4 linked regions of the Arabidopsis thaliana genome follow. The protein of the gene in region 1 interacts with the protein of each later gene in a pairwise test. Each region holds a gene or a part of one and is shown on either strand. Other genes may lie near its edges.

Region 1 (3,747 bases):
TTACGCCTAAAGACGAGCCGGAGACATCGGATTCTTCTTCGTCTGCTGCGAAACTTTACAGAAATATCGTCGGAGACGAAAACGTGACAAGGAAGAGAATTTCAGTGGTTGATACATCGCATCTTGGCGATAATCACGAGTTTATTATCGAAACTACGTGTGGAAGCAACGATATGGATGAAGGGTTTTACTGGATCATCGTCAGGAATCACTTGATGTGAATTTTATAAAGCGTTTAAGTATAATTAAGTAATGTAAGTCCTTGGTCCTTGCATGATTTGTTTTTCTTAGGATCAACCATGCAGCATTCTGGACTACTAAATTTCTATCAAGATAAATCATGTGTTGTGACAATTTGAACCAATAATCAGTGGTTAACTGTCAAAAAAATAAATTTAGTCATATTTTCGTTTTGTCGTTTTTTAATTTTTGTTAGTGAATTTTGTCGTAAATAAAACGAACCAAAGAAAATATGAACTGATTCGAGTCAGTCTACGCTCTTTTCGAGTATCAAAATTAAGAACTTTTCCTTGGAATGATTTTTTTTTTTTGTTGGTTTTTAAAACGTTATATCAAATAATTCACATATATCAATATCACAAATCAGTGAATCACAAATATCCTCGTCTGATGATCAAATCTTAATTTAATCAGGGGATTAAAACAAGAGAGGAAAAGAAAAGATAATAATTAAGTCAAGATTCGTATACCAAGGCCGTATCTAAAATTGGCATCACGCACGAATGAATATTACACCAAACGTGACGCAATTGAATTCCTCGTTACGTATAGTAATCGTATATTTCCTTAATTATACGAATACGATGTCGTATCGGGGCAGAACTGGTCCTGCAAGAACCAAAAACTCTCCTCGTCAGTCCACATGTTGTCCCCACCAACACAGCCCCAATCGTTGAACTCTCCGAAACCCGTTTGACCCGACGGATCATAACCTGACCCGTTCACCACCCCACCTCGAACGTCCGAAAACGTCTCAGCCGGAGAATTCGAAGACGTTGCTGACAATTCCGTAGCCGGTACGAATTGCTGATGATGATTCTGGCTGAATTGAACGAAACCCGGCTCGACCGGACTCGGTTCGTTAACTGGTTGACTTGGGTCGGTGATCATTGACTCCACTTGTTCACACGTGGTGGGTAATGATTGGGCGTTGATTCGTTCCACTAATCTCGGCATCCAAACATTTCTCATAGTCTCCTTGAAAAGATTACTGTTAACATCGCATCTTAGGTGTTTGGCTTGCTTTTGGACTCGAGTTCTCCAATAATTCTTTATTTCATTATCTGTTCTTCCCGGTAGATATTGCGCAATCTTCGACCACCTTATATATTCAATTGAAAAAAAAGACATATATTAATAACATACTTAACTAGTAACATATAGAATAGCAAAATATTAACATTTGAGATATATAGTGTGTACCTATTGCCCCAAAGAGAATGGAGTTTGAGGATCATAAATTGTTCTTCGAGAGTGATGTTGCCTCTTCTAACATCTGGACGTAAGTAATTAAGCCATCTTAATCTACAACTCTTACCAGTTCGCTTTAGCCCTGCACATATATGAGTAAAATATATATAAGTTTATCTATATATAAAGCCTTTGTGTATATGTATATTTAGAGATTGATGTTTTGATGATACCAGAGGAACGAGCGATGTGGTTCCAACGAGCATCGCCATGGATAGAGACGAAGTTGACTAGGATTGCATCTTCTTCCTCGGTCCATGGACCTTTCCGTACATCAGAATCTTCTTCATGTGTTGGAGAGTTTGAGTTTATTCGCTCGTAATCTTCCATTTCTTATAAAGAAACTTTAAATGAGGAAAGGAAAAGAGATAGAGAGAAAGAAGATGAGATGGTGTGAATGGTTTTGTGGATTAGATTTGAAGTGATTAAGCAATGTGCGATATTTATATATATATAGTGAAGGAACATAAGAATCAAATAATTTTAAAAGTAGTATTTTATAAAAAGGATATTTGAAAATGAGTAGAATGTTGAAGAGTGACTGGAACACGGCATAAGTGTTATGTTCAATTTTTATTTTTTTATTCTGTTTCTAAAGTGGAATTTTGCAACTATATAGTAAATTATGCTAAACATAATTAGCTCTCCATTTGGTCAATTGTTTGTGTAATTTTAAAATACTAAGGTTTGACCCTTTGACTTGTTCAGATGTATAGTAACACGCACTCTTGCTTTTTCTTTCTTTGGTAAGAGAGTTCTATTTCATAAAGTTTCTATATTTATTACCACACAGTATCGCAGACGTAAGTTATTGTACATCCTTAGTCTTGTTCAAAATTACTCTGGTTAGTGATTACTATGGGCGAAATTAATGATTTATTAATCACTTCTTGTTGTGTGCAATCACGATTTAATATTCGTCGTTTGCTTTGAAATTAGCTAACATTAAGAAACTACTACATGCTACTCGGTAAGCATAATAATACTTAAATACTATTACTAAATGGAAATTAGTTTCCAATACGGATTCGTTTCTAAGTATATGGAGTCTAAAATAATTCTTAATTCCCAATTTTGAATGTAGCTAAATAACATAGGACTATTGACATTTAAGGCAAAGTCAAATGAGAAATGGAGTTAGGCGAGTTTAGGGACTTTGCTTTTGAAATTTTAGCACATTTTGTTTTCGATTGAAGAGTAGTCAAAGAGACGTCTTTCCTCTGTCAATCACTATGACTTCTATGCATATATTTACAGAAATATACTAAACTTTTGTGAGTTTTATCAAACAAAATTTTATCGTACGTTGGGATTAATAATTAAGAAACACTATCAAAGTTATTAAAAACAATAATATACTTTCAATAGTTGCCGGTAGAGAAAGTACTTTTGTTTTTAATGAGAATCCACGATGAAGTAAAGAGAGACCGTAGTATACTTTCAATAATCGTTCCATTACTACTTCGATTATTGATACACATTCTGAAAGTCGAATGCCTATAATATTGATGATAACTTTTATAATATATGTTGTACATTTTGTTAATGCATCATTACTTTTAAGTAACGTTCTACGACATTTTATCAAAATGTGTAACAAGAAAATATTTTAATTGATTCGTATTACAAAACATATAAATTATAATTCGATCAGGGAAATCAAATTTAATTATTACATTATATTGTTTAATTCATCAATGATCATATATTCATATGTAACTAAAGTAAGAATATATAAGCACTATAAACATATATTGGGTTAAAAATTTAACATACTAACAAAAACAGATTAGCAAATACAATCAGATGCCTACATGTCATAGCGATCCACTCCGTCGAAAAAGGGAGGTCGAAAACATATATAAAACTATTAAAGTAAAGGAGTTTAAGTAATGCAAGTAAACACAGGATTTTTGTTACACAACGACACTTAAATAGTAGCCTCCATAGTTCTAGGGGAAAGCAACACTCCCGATTAACTGTATGTACCTGAGAACCGAATCAGATCTCGATGTCTTTATGAGACACTTGTCTGCTTCTTATAACTTTCAACTGTGGACAAATAGACACCCAAGTGATGACGTGTCATTTGATTCGAATATAGGTTAGATTTCGCGTTGTACCAGTATCTTATACTTTTAGTGAAGAAAACAAATGTTATTTGTAACACCCGATTCAGTGAATTGTTACATCGATTAGATATGTGATATAGACGACAACCCAAATAAGCTAGTTTTTTTTTTTTTTTTTTTTTTT
Region 2 (3,911 bases), on another chromosome or scaffold:
CAAGACCCGCCAGATACAAAGATCAGAATGGTCTCTCCGATCTTTAAATCATAGGTTAGATCCAAAAGTCAGTCAAAAAAAAAAAAAAAAACTAAAATACAACTTATACATAAAAAAATTTAACATCAAAACACCATTAAAAGGTGAGGCAACCACGGAAAAAAGGTAGATGCATGACATCATGAGCATTTCAAATGCCGAAAGTTATTAGGATTTAGCGAAGTATTGTTTCGAAGAACCACGTTATATCGTTCGAAAATAAAAAAAAAATTCTAATAGCACGAGTTTAAAGTTGAAACTACTTGATAACCAATTTAGGGAAACGAAGTATTTGAACTGTTGTTAACAATCGACTTCTAAGTTCTAATGACATAAGCTTCTTTTGAGTCGAAGCTCCTTTCCTTGAAATAGATAGACCCAGAATGTTTTTTGCCCCAGCTTATCACCAATGTTTTTGTGTTCTGACAATACTAATACATGTCTTGATCGACAGTTTCTTATTTTAAATCTCGTTATTCGTCTGTATCATTCTCATTGACAATTTAGTTCTTCGAATATTAGCGCTTCAGTTAAAAATCCTAGTTATCATATTTGCTATTTTATTGTGAAGATAGTACACAGTATACGATACAAACAAGTTGAAGAAACATACCTCCTTCAAACGTATATTTACAGCAAAAAAACTATATGAAAACATATTTCAATCCCTTTGAGTACAGTATATACCTAATTTCTATATGTACTATAAAAAGAAAAACCAAACAATACCTGTAAGTAATATGTCTTACAATATGTATATTCCTAGCTCAAAAGGTTAAAAACTACTAACCATTTAGTTACAACATAACAACCACATTTTCTATAATCTACACTATATAATTAGCTTCCGTTAGTATTAATTTTAGAAAGGAGCACGGTGTGGGACGCCCTTCCGTCTACTTGAATTCCGGTGATTATATATCGGCGGTGTCCCCGGAGAAAGTTTAAAACCGCTCTCATCACCGGAGCTCGAAGACGGTTGATCTCCTGACAAGTAATCACATTTAACGGTGGAGATGGAAAGACCACTCATCAGACGGTTGAAAGCACATGTCTTGCGTATCTTAGTTGGTGTAGTCGCTTCATCAGATTCCCACTCACCTTCGTACTCTCTTCCATGCTTCCCTCTCAAAGAGAAGGTTAGACTTGGATCACGCTTCATTCCTCCAAGCTGAAATAAACCAAACAAAAGGGCAATATGGTCATTTCAACTATACAGAGCAAATTCAGATATTCATTCAAAACAGAGGAAAACAGAGGAAAGAAGAGTTACTTTGCAACCGAGAGAGCAGAAACGGAAAGAATCGAGAAGGCTTCTGCAACAGATTTCACAAGTATTGGTGACTCCTTTGCCGATTCTTGGCTGAGGACGTTCGTTCAAGAAAACGATCCTTGCGCTGTTGATTATATATGTCTGAACACAAGATATGTCTATGTACTTCTGAATCTCGTTTACTCTCACAACGTTGTGGTACGATGATCTCCGTATCTGCAAGTAATGAAAATCCCATTTTCTTAACTCTGTTGGGTGAATTGGTAAGAGAGAAAAAAATGATTTGAAGTTGATGAAAGAACCTGGAGGACACGATGGTTTCTGTGATTGAGCAAACAGTAAGAGCAAAAGGCCTCAGAAGAACAGTCAAGACAGAACATGTTGCACTCGCTTTTGTTGGAAGCGGCGTGGATTGAACAAGGGATGAAGTAGTTTGCTCTTAGCATTGGGATTAGCCATGGTGGAGGATTTAGATTGTAGTTATCTTCTTCTGCTCTCATCATCATCGGTCCCTGAAGAATGTTTAGACCAGTTCCAAATGGTTAATATAAGAATTTGCAAAGAAACTAAAACAGAGTTAAGTAAGAAAGAGAATCAATCAATCACCATAGTTATTGTGAGTTTTGATAGCCAGCTTCAACAGTGAAGAAGAGCAGATTTGATTGAAAAGACTATGAGAGGATTTGAGTTTAGTGGGAGGAGGCGGCGGCTATAGCTGAAAAAGAGAAGTTGAGGTTTTTCTTGTTTTTTGAAGTCGGTCACGATAATACTCAATACGTTTTATAATTCACATGAAAATCATTTAATATCATCCCCTTTTTAAACTGTTTTTATATAGTTTTTTCTTTAATTACTTTTTTTGGCTAAAAATAAGTGTTCTCTAATTTTGCTTTAAAGTCTATGAGAGACACACGTATATTTTGTGCACATGTGTGGGTCTCTAGAGACCCCAGAAGTAAAGGAACTTAAAAAAAAAAGGTGGTGTTATTGATAATTTTGAATCATTATTGTTCACAAATGATGATAAATAATTTTATGTCGTGGTTCGCGACAAAATATCGAATTAGCCGACTATATTATTCGGTCCTACATAATTCCCAACGTAGGAAGATATTTTTTCTACCAAATTTGATTGTCTTAATATCTACTACTATTCATTATGTTTGTGATAGATTATGATATTCACATACATACGGATTATTGGAAGTATCATACGGCCATAGAAGAGAACTCTGAGTTTGGAATTTGGATGCTAAATTTTAGCTACAAGAAATAATTTGTTTTTTTCTTAAAATTTTAAAAGGTCAAAATTAGAAACACGTGGCTAGAGGTGAAGAGCCAGAGAGATGGACCGACACGAGAGGAGACAGAACCGAATTGGAGATTCTGGTGTGAACCGTTGGATTAAAAAGACAAAATCTTTTATAATGTAACGTGGCTCACGCTTTTGGCCCTTTTGGTAGTTCAACCCACATGACCAATCTTAGACCGTCGGATGAAGAAGTTGAGTGGACCGTACATAAGCCACCTCTTGAAATCGTAGGGTTCGAAAGCGTCTGTTACGTGCCAAAGAGTTCTTATCATCTAGTGAGTACTTTTCGCTGAAAGTGCTTTAAACTAGTTTCAAGATTGTGTGTGTGTGATCTAAACTGTTAGATTTTTACGGTCAAAGTGATATCTATATTAGTTGTACGGCTTATGTGTGTGTGAAACTGTTCACATATATGATCTCTTTAGGCTCAAACTGTTAGAAGCTTTCATTTTTTTTATCAGCTGTTGACAAAAGAAACTGTACATACTACTATTATCACCGTTAAATCCATCTTAATATTCATACTTGATAGCTTATATTGGGGGCTGGTAACGAATTAATGAAGCTAGAAAGATAGTTTCAATAGATATGATCAAAAAGTTTGCAATTAATTTGAGATTGCGGATGATATGTCGAAACTACGAGTAAGTTTTCTAGTCCCTACCCAAAAATTATGCAATAGAAGTATCTGTCTTCGACGTATTTTTCAGTCCGCTATCTTCTACATATAATAGAGTTTGAAAGTTAAGTCTTCCGGCAAAATCCAATAACAAGTATTTTTAAGTATCTTATCTTAAATGACAAGTAGTAAATAATCAACATAGATATATAATGTATTACTCGAGAAAGAGACCTGATATCATATTATATGGGATAAGAAACCTAAAGAGATAATAATAAAAAGAGAAGTGTGATCCACGTAATCAGATAGTAGCTATCTATAGAAAATTACACATAACAACTAATTGTTCAAAATGTTGGGAGAAAAGTCGACGAATCATCGTCTTCTTTTCTGCGATCTTATCTCTTTCAACTACACACAAAAGAGATTAGTTTTATTGTTTTGTTTGTATTCATAAAGTGAGTAAATTGAAAAATATCCCAAACAAATGTGGGAAGAAGAAGGTAAAGATGGGGCAATGCACTGTTGACCGACCTCAACAATAGTAGTCAATAGCACGAGACTCACGTGACCGTTGTGGTTTATTTGTGAAGAATCATCTTCACTTTTTAAGATGTCCCTTTAAAATGTTTAGCAAGTAGTGGCTAATACTACTTTTACGTAGG
Region 3 (4,113 bases), on another chromosome or scaffold:
CATCAAGAGGATGTAGCAAATGGGAACAAAGATCCAGAGGTAAAATATCAGGCTGCCGATTCTTGGTCAGACCCTACAACTTCAACTCCATTGGTCTGTACAAAATCCAAACCTCCGGTGAGAGATATGGACACCAAGATGATCGACGCTCAGTGATGTGGTATGTTACAACATTTGAAAATCAGCAGAGCTTTTTAGCTTACAAAGTTACAATAGTGATGTAGATACTATTACACAATGACTTCTATGGTAATAAAGGGTGATTATACGTAGAATTTAAATGTTCGTGAATTGCCATATTGTTTGCCATTCATGTGACAGACTCATTTAGACCCATAAGTAGGTAAATATTTTGTTGACTTAAATAGACGCATTGACTCTTACCTAAAAAGTTCATAACTACATTAGATTCATACCACATAGGTGATGAATTCAATATAAAAGATTATACTTGTGAACAAGTTGGATGCAAATTAGAGTCAATTCTTGGCCTTGGAGCAGAACTTGAGCATAGGAAGAGTTGTTTTGTCTTCTCAAACCAACTCCAACACAAAAGATTTGCATGCCTCGATGCCATTAGCCTTGAAAAACTCTTTCAACCCTGAACCGAATCGCGTCTGTGTATTTCCCTTGTACATGACTAAATTCACTGGCCACTCTACTCCATGCTTGTCCAACAGAGTTATCTTCTTCATTCCTAGGTTTTCCATTCGGTTACCCTTAATGAATTTGATTGGAACACGCTGCAAACAAAGGAGAATATAAGCTTACACTAACTAAGTGAACTTTCATAAAGCATTGATGATAACCAAAACCAAGGGAACAAAACTCCTCCTAGAGAGTTGTTTTAACTTACAAGTCTACCATCTTTGAGAGCGGCTGGTGTGACGGTTAGTGTCAAAAATCGGTATTCACTTACTGAAGATGACGATGATGGAACTTTTTGGCTACTGTCACCAGATTCCTTTCTCTTTATTTTGTTGAAATCTTTAGTGGAAACACTCTTTAATTCTGCAGTGGAGAAACGAAGAAGAGGCGTTTTGGTGTTATTCCTCTCTAGTTTAAACGTGACGGAATCTCCAGGTTTAAGCCCATGCTCATGGAGAAACTTGTCCAGCCACCCCTCATGTAAAACGTTCTACTTGAATTCCTAAACTTCAGAATAAGCGTCCATGTCCTTGCTTCTTCATTCATCAGAACAATCTTGTTACTTCCTTTAATCAGACCATCGGACCTATCAAACTTCCTTGGAAGAAACTGCAAAGTAAAAAATTTAAACATGAGTAACAACTTCCATATCTCTCCAAAGGAATCAACAATAGATCTGAAGTACCAACCAGTGTATCCTCTCGTAAGTTAGAATCTGTTACATGTGCAACGAAACAGGACTTGTCTGATGAAAAAGACTTGGCTTCTGCTTCAGGAATCCTCTTCTTCACATGTTTTTTTCTTGGAAACTTTCCTATTTTTATAAAAGTTGGAAAAGTTAGACCATGTAGATGGTGTTAAAACGCCAACAAATCAAGAGTTATTTGTACATTGACTTACCCATGTTAACTTTGTCTTCGTCGAGTGAAGACTCTAGTTCTGTTTTTATGCTCTGCTTCATCGACAAGTTACCTGCATCACAAGAAGAAAAAAGTTAGAATCTTCAAAACAAAATGTGAATTTCCTGGGAAGGTAAAAACAGAAGACAACTTACTAATGTTCTCCTGATTATTGCAAGACGGTACATATTGAATCTCACAGCAACTGGGTCCCAATGCAGTGACATGAAATACCAAAGATCCTTCGTGTCTGAAAACGATAATATCCCCAACTCGGAAATCATGCGCGCTGGCGAACTCTTTCCAGCCCACTGTTAGTCTCCGACCTTGGATCTTAACTTGCCAAGTTTTTTCAGACGCGTCGGTTCTTAGCTCCACTGTCCTTCCTTCGTTTCTTCCTTGTATGCGTTTTGAGAAAAACTTCACAGGAATGTTCTGCAACAACATGCAAAAGAGATTATTAAAACGAAACCATCTCTCTCAACATAAGCTGTATTTACTCGTATAAGAGAGTAGTACAAGGTAAGAGTCGAAGCCGGGAAGAAGTGGCTGGAAGAAATGTGAGTTTTTCGGAGATTGAAGAACTGGATCCGCCATTGTTCAAAAGATTTAGATAAAGCGTTTCCAAGAAAAGAAAGCCCTAGAAAACAAAACAAAAAAATGATTCAGTCTAAGTTTATGAGTGTCTTTTACTCTTTTGGTAATCCTCGCATGGTTCCTCTTATTAATGAGAGCTCCAGCTACCTGTTTCATTAATGAACACTCCTTTTATTCTCTTTTCATTAAATGAGTCACTACTTTTTGTTCTTTTGGTGAAGGAAAATTCATTACCAAAAAAAGATTGGTGCTAACATCTCGTTTACTGATTTGGTGGCATTGCTCCTTTTTCTTTATTTTCTATTTGGAGATATAATCTAGTTTTGTGGCTTTTGCATTAGCTGAGGCAGAGTATAGTTATCTATATAGTGTAAGTTAGTTTTAAGAGAAATGTAAACATCATAACAGGTTTGTGCATCAGAATAATCAAGAACCAACCGAAATGGCCAGTTAGAGTAATTAGCGTTTTGATCAATTGTTATGCAGAAAGCTTCTAAGCTCTAACTTACGCAGATGATATTACAGAATAGTGATAATAGATAGAACTTATATATTGTTATTACTTGTTTTCAAGACCCTTATTAGAGTAAATGTTGTTGACATAAATAGAAAGACTACACTGGATTCATACTGCATAGGTTGTGAGCTCACTAAAACAGACCATTCTTACTTATAATAACTTGGGTGCAAATTAGAGTCAAGTCTTGATCTTGGAGCAGAATTTGAACATAGGAAGAGTTGTTGTCTCTTCCCAAACCAACTCCAACACCACAGATTCATATGCCTTAACGCCAATAGCATTGCAGAATTCTCTCAACCCTGAACCCAAAACCATCCTTGTATATCTTTTATCCATCAGTAAGGTCACTGGCCACTCTTCTCCATTCTTGTCCAATAGAGTTATCTTCTTCCCTCCTGCCCTTTCCATCTTGTTAACACTAATAAACTTCTTCGAAAGATACTGCAAAGAAAGGGAGACAATTAGCTTATATACTCTGTGCACTTCACAAAGCATCAATACCAAAAACAAGGGAACAAAACTTACAAGTCTGGAACTGCGGATACTGGATGGTGTGACAGTTAGTGTCAGAAATCGGGTCCTATCTTTTGTGGAAGCACTCTTTGATTCTGCAATGGAGAAAAGGAGTAGAGGCGTTTTTGTGTTGCTACTCTCCAGTTTAAACGTGACAGAATCTCCAGGTTTAAGCCCATTCTCACGGCAGAAACTTCTCCAGCCACCCCTACTGTAAAACGATCTACGTGAATCCCTAAACTTCAGAATAAGCGTCCATGTCCTTGCTCCTTCATTCATTAGAACAATCTTGTTACTTCCTTTAATCAGACCATCGGACCTAACAAAATTCCTTGGAAGAGACTGCAAAGTAAAATTTTAAACATGAGTAATCAACCTTCACGGCTCTCAAAAGGAATCAACAGTAGATCTGAAGTACCAACCAGTGTATCCTCTCGTAGGTTCCAATCTGTTACATATGCAACGAAACAAGACTTGTATAATGAAAAAGACTTTGCTTCTGTTTCAGGAATCCTCTTGTTCACATGTTTCTTTCTCAGAAGCTTTCCTGTTTTCACAAAAGTTGGACAAGTTAGCTAGACCTTGTAGATGTTCTTGAAAATCAACAAGACTCATTTATACATTGCCTTTTACCCATGTTATCAACGCTCTGGTTCACCTTAGCCACATGATCAAAGATAAAGCAAGATTGCGTTTGCTGCAACTTTCCTTGATCACCAGTAGACTTGTTAGATGTGCGATTGCGACGAGAAGGTTCTCCTTCTTCAGCTATCTTCTCCCTCACGTCATGCTTCGATCTACTCTCTTGGCTCCATCTTTGGACTCGAGCTCTCTTGAGTGGCCGAGCCTCTGCTCCAGCCTTTGGGAGCTTGCTGCAGAGCCGAAACACGGGCATTTTGGCGTTGTGAAGCAGTTTAAATGTACAAGAATCTCCAA
Region 4 (3,675 bases), on another chromosome or scaffold:
AAAGAAAAATCTTCTTGTTTATCATGTGAAGTTTGTGAACCAATCAAAATTTATCTTCAGATCCTTTTTTTTTTCAATTTCATAATCGTAAGTCAAAAGAAAATATCTGTTTGCTTTTTTTCTAACGCACTTGTGTTTCCTCAAACTTATTATTTTTAAACTCATGTGCACGTACATGTAAACATTCATTTCCTCTCTTTTTCTTTTTTTTCTTGTCAAAACATTCATTTCCTCTTTAGTCACTACTATTATCGAAAACATTCATTTCCTCTTTAGTCATTACTATTATAGTATTATAGAAGATCATATATATCATGTGTATGATGAAGTCTCTTGGTTTAGCTGATCTCTTCATGTTCTTTATTACTTTCTTTATCTCCAAACCCCTCACCCATGGCCATCAGTCTTCAACAAGTCAAAGTAAATTGATAAATTCAGTATTTTTCATTAGACACCCCAAAGTATAAAAATGTATCGTTGATACGGTGATACAAGAACCAAAAGATGGAAAGATATATAAAGAATTTTCAACTTTTCATCAACCATCAAAATATAACTCTGATCCAAGTCATTAACGTTCAATTTGGTTAGAGTTCTGTTCTATTATGTGTTGATCCATAAATGGTAAAAAGATTGAATAGTATACAAATAAAAAGAGCCTATTTCAACCCAAACTTTTCTTTCCTAAACGTTTTAAAAATTCAAAAAAATTTGTACCTTAAAATTTGTGTGTAAATCAAAATATAGTTCATTTCTCGAGTTTCATATATATACATAGACGAAAGACATCAAGATCATACACAACATCAGAAGATGAATTTACAAAATACGAGAGAGACCTTCTTGCTAATGCTAACAACTAAATTACCAACCCCACTTCACGCGCCTCTAGCAACCTCAGAAGCTCCAATCACCGTCTTATCCTCTTGATTCTCCGCCGGCAAACCAAAATTGGTCGGCGCGTGAGGTCCAATCAGCTTAATTGAAGCGTTATCATAAGCTAGAGCAGCTTCCTCAGCAGTGTTAAAAGTACCCAGCCAGAGACGATCACGTCGTCCTTTACAAGCTCCTCTTCCACATCTGATCTCCGCCACCCACTTCCCCCACGGCCTCTGCCTCACTCCACGATATTTCTTCTCCGTTTTCGCCGTCTTGAGAAATTCCGCCGGGATCCTGATTTTGAACCGTGTTTTGCAGACATCGAGTTTATCGGCGGAATCGGAAGGATCGATTACGATCTCTTTAACGAGGCGTTTCCCACGGCGCCGAGTCTGGGATGCTCCTCCACGCTCCTCCGTGTCTTCGTCGCTAGAAGAATCGGTGGCTTCTGCGTCGGTGAATGAGATTCTGATAATACGCTTCATAGTGAATTTGCGGAAATTAGGGTTCCGTCTTCGTCTCCATTAAAAGGAAAGCATTTGAGAGAAAGAATATGTTTTTATTCTTTCAGAATCTCTTTTTCTGATGCTTTTCATCTTTACTTATTTACTTCTCTATTTTTTTCTAACCAATCCTATGTGGGCCGTATGGGCCTCAGAGCTGAAAATGCAGTAAAATCCATGAAATTTCTCAACATGGCTTGAAGCCCATCTTCTAAAGGAAAAAACGCTTTACTCTTTTTTCCTTCATCTATGTAATAAGAAGCAGAAATTTAGGAATAAGTTTGAAACTTTAATCACACATAAGAGTAAGTGCAAAAACATGAACAATGTTCTTGCCTTCCGTGTCAATTTTGTATATATATATATATATATATATATATATATATATGTGTGTCAGTATATAATCTCCTTTTATATGATTATAAACTCATTTGTCCCATGTCTTCTTCTTCTTCAATGGACTTACTCATGTGTCTGCTTCTTCTAATCTCTCCGGTTGTTCTGGCCAAGTCTTCTTCCACCGTCCCTGCTATCTTTACCTTCGGTGACTCTATTTTTGACGCCGGAAACAACCATTACAACAAAAACTGTACCGCTCAGGCTGATTTTCCTCCTTATGGTTCTTCCTTTTTCCACCGTCCTACTGGGAGGTTCACCAACGGAAGAACCGTCGCTGACTTCATCTGTAACAAATTACCTCCCAACTCGTTAACTAAAACATTTCTTCTTCTGCAAGGAACCTTACTTTTGTCTCTTTTTTCTTTTCTTGACGCAATAATTGCAGCGGAATTTGTAGGCCTTCCATTACAGAAACCATTCTTGGAATTGCAGATTCAAATCTTGAATGGAACTTCAAACTTTTCAAATGGCATTAACTTTGCTAGTGCTGGTAGTGGTCTCTTGCTTGATACCAACAAATTTATGGTAAATATCTACCTTGACCAAATAAAATGTTTGTTTCTTGTGAATCACTCATTAAGTACACATATCAAATGTAGGGCGTGACACCGATCCAAACCCAGCTACAGCAATTCCAGACACTTGTAGAGCAAAACCTTATCGAAAAATCTATAATCCAAGAGTCTCTCTTCTTATTAGAAACTGGTTCTAACGACATCTTCAACTACTTCCTCCCATTCCGAGCTCCTACACTTTCTCCAGACGCTTATGTGAACGCAATGTTAGACCAAGTGAACAAAACGATTGATCAGATCTACAAACTAGGCGCACGCCGCATCGCTTTCTTCTCCTTAGGTCCTGTAGGTTGTGTCCCTGCAAGAGCCATGCTTCCTAATGCCCCAACCAATAAATGCTTTGGTAAGATGAATGTTATGGCCAAGATGTATAATAAAAGACTTGAAGATATAGTGAACATAATCCCCACTAAGTACCCTGGAGCCATTGCGGTGTTTGGAGCTGTATATGGTATCACTCACAGATTTCAAACCTACCCTGCCCGTTACGGTAAACTCAATATAGTTAATTAACTTCCATCTTTGAGATCTTTTTCAAATGTGTCTATGAGAAAGCTGAATCATGTTTTTGGTGAAGGGTTTTCGGATGTTTCAAACGCGTGTTGTGGGAACGGTACACTGGGAGGATTGATGCAGTGTGGAAGAGAAGGATACAAGATTTGCAATAACCCAAATGAGTTTCTGTTTTGGGATTTTTATCATCCCACAGAACACACTTACCGTCTCATGTCAAAAGCTTTATGGAATGGAAACAAAAACCATATCAGACCATTTAATCTCATGGCTCTTGCCACCAACAAGATCACATTTTAATACTTATATCTCCCTTGTATATAGAATTCATAATGAGTTTGTATCTGAATTAAGACTCGAAATCATTGTGAAAACAAAAGCCAGAAAGTGAAACTTCGCTCCACTTCTGGTCTCTTCTTCCTCTTCTACTGTAACATGAACGCTACAAAATGTTTTTATTGTTCTCTTTCATATCATTATGAAATACAATATCTGATTCTATCTAACTATACCTCTATACTATACGCATTCTACAGAAAGCTTAGGTTCGTCATCTGAGTGATGAGTATCCAAGCCGTTACCAAAGCTATCATCTTTTCTTTGAGGGTGTGGATCCGCAAACACTTCCTCCCTTTGGGGGCGGTTCGCATAGAATATCCATAGCACCAGACATAGTAAGACTCCTACGGAGATCAGTCCGAGTCCTGCGTTCACAATCCTCAGATTACGTACTAACGGTGGACAGTAATCTGAGGTAATACTCATAAATGTTTCCCTAACAAAGTTGCAATCTCGGAAGCTAAGCA

The links.
Region 2: the proteins of MYB2 (region 1) and AT1G76590 interact in a two-hybrid assay, tested with the Arabidopsis thaliana proteins (one large-scale study listed by BioGRID).
Region 3: the proteins of MYB2 (region 1) and AT4G31660 interact in a two-hybrid assay, tested with the Arabidopsis thaliana proteins (one large-scale study listed by BioGRID).
Region 4: the proteins of MYB2 (region 1) and CRF8 interact in a two-hybrid assay, tested with the Arabidopsis thaliana proteins (one large-scale study listed by BioGRID).

The regions. Positions count from the first base shown.
Region 1 is NC_003071.7:19,374,358-19,378,104, reverse strand, and holds MYB2 (myb domain protein 2), read right to left. Parts: upstream 2,121-3,747; 5' UTR 1,822-2,120; coding exon 1,665-1,821; intron 1,574-1,664; coding exon 1,444-1,573; intron 1,343-1,443; coding exon 808-1,342; 3' UTR 562-807; downstream 1-561. Other genes in the region: AT2G47200 (uncharacterized protein), read left to right, coding at 1-221.
Region 2 is NC_003070.9:28,738,885-28,742,795, reverse strand, and holds AT1G76590 (PLATZ transcription factor family protein), read right to left. Parts: upstream 2,257-3,911; 5' UTR 1,922-2,256; coding exon 1,919-1,921; intron 1,825-1,918; coding exon 1,615-1,824; intron 1,529-1,614; coding exon 1,313-1,528; intron 1,211-1,312; coding exon 902-1,210; 3' UTR 565-901; downstream 1-564.
Region 3 is NC_003075.7:15,332,050-15,336,162, reverse strand, and holds AT4G31660 (AP2/B3-like transcriptional factor family protein), read right to left. Parts: upstream 2,151-4,113; 5' UTR 2,145-2,150; coding exon 2,067-2,144; intron 1,983-2,066; coding exon 1,703-1,982; intron 1,621-1,702; coding exon 1,549-1,620; intron 1,463-1,548; coding exon 1,338-1,462; intron 1,258-1,337; coding exon 1,057-1,257; 3' UTR 857-1,056; intron 744-856; 3' UTR 533-743; downstream 1-532. Other genes in the region: UBP18 (ubiquitin-specific protease 18), read left to right, coding at 1-156; AT4G31650 (Transcriptional factor B3 family protein), read right to left, coding at 2,842-3,105, 3,190-3,519, 3,600-3,724, 3,811-4,113.
Region 4 is NC_003070.9:26,820,566-26,824,240, reverse strand, and holds CRF8 (Integrase-type DNA-binding superfamily protein), read right to left. Parts: upstream 1,725-3,675; 5' UTR 1,365-1,724; coding exon 879-1,364; 3' UTR 570-878; downstream 1-569. Other genes in the region: GLIP6 (GDSL-motif lipase/hydrolase 6), read left to right, coding at 1,821-2,067, 2,167-2,306, 2,381-2,846, 2,934-3,169; AT1G71110 (uncharacterized protein), read right to left, coding at 3,389-3,675.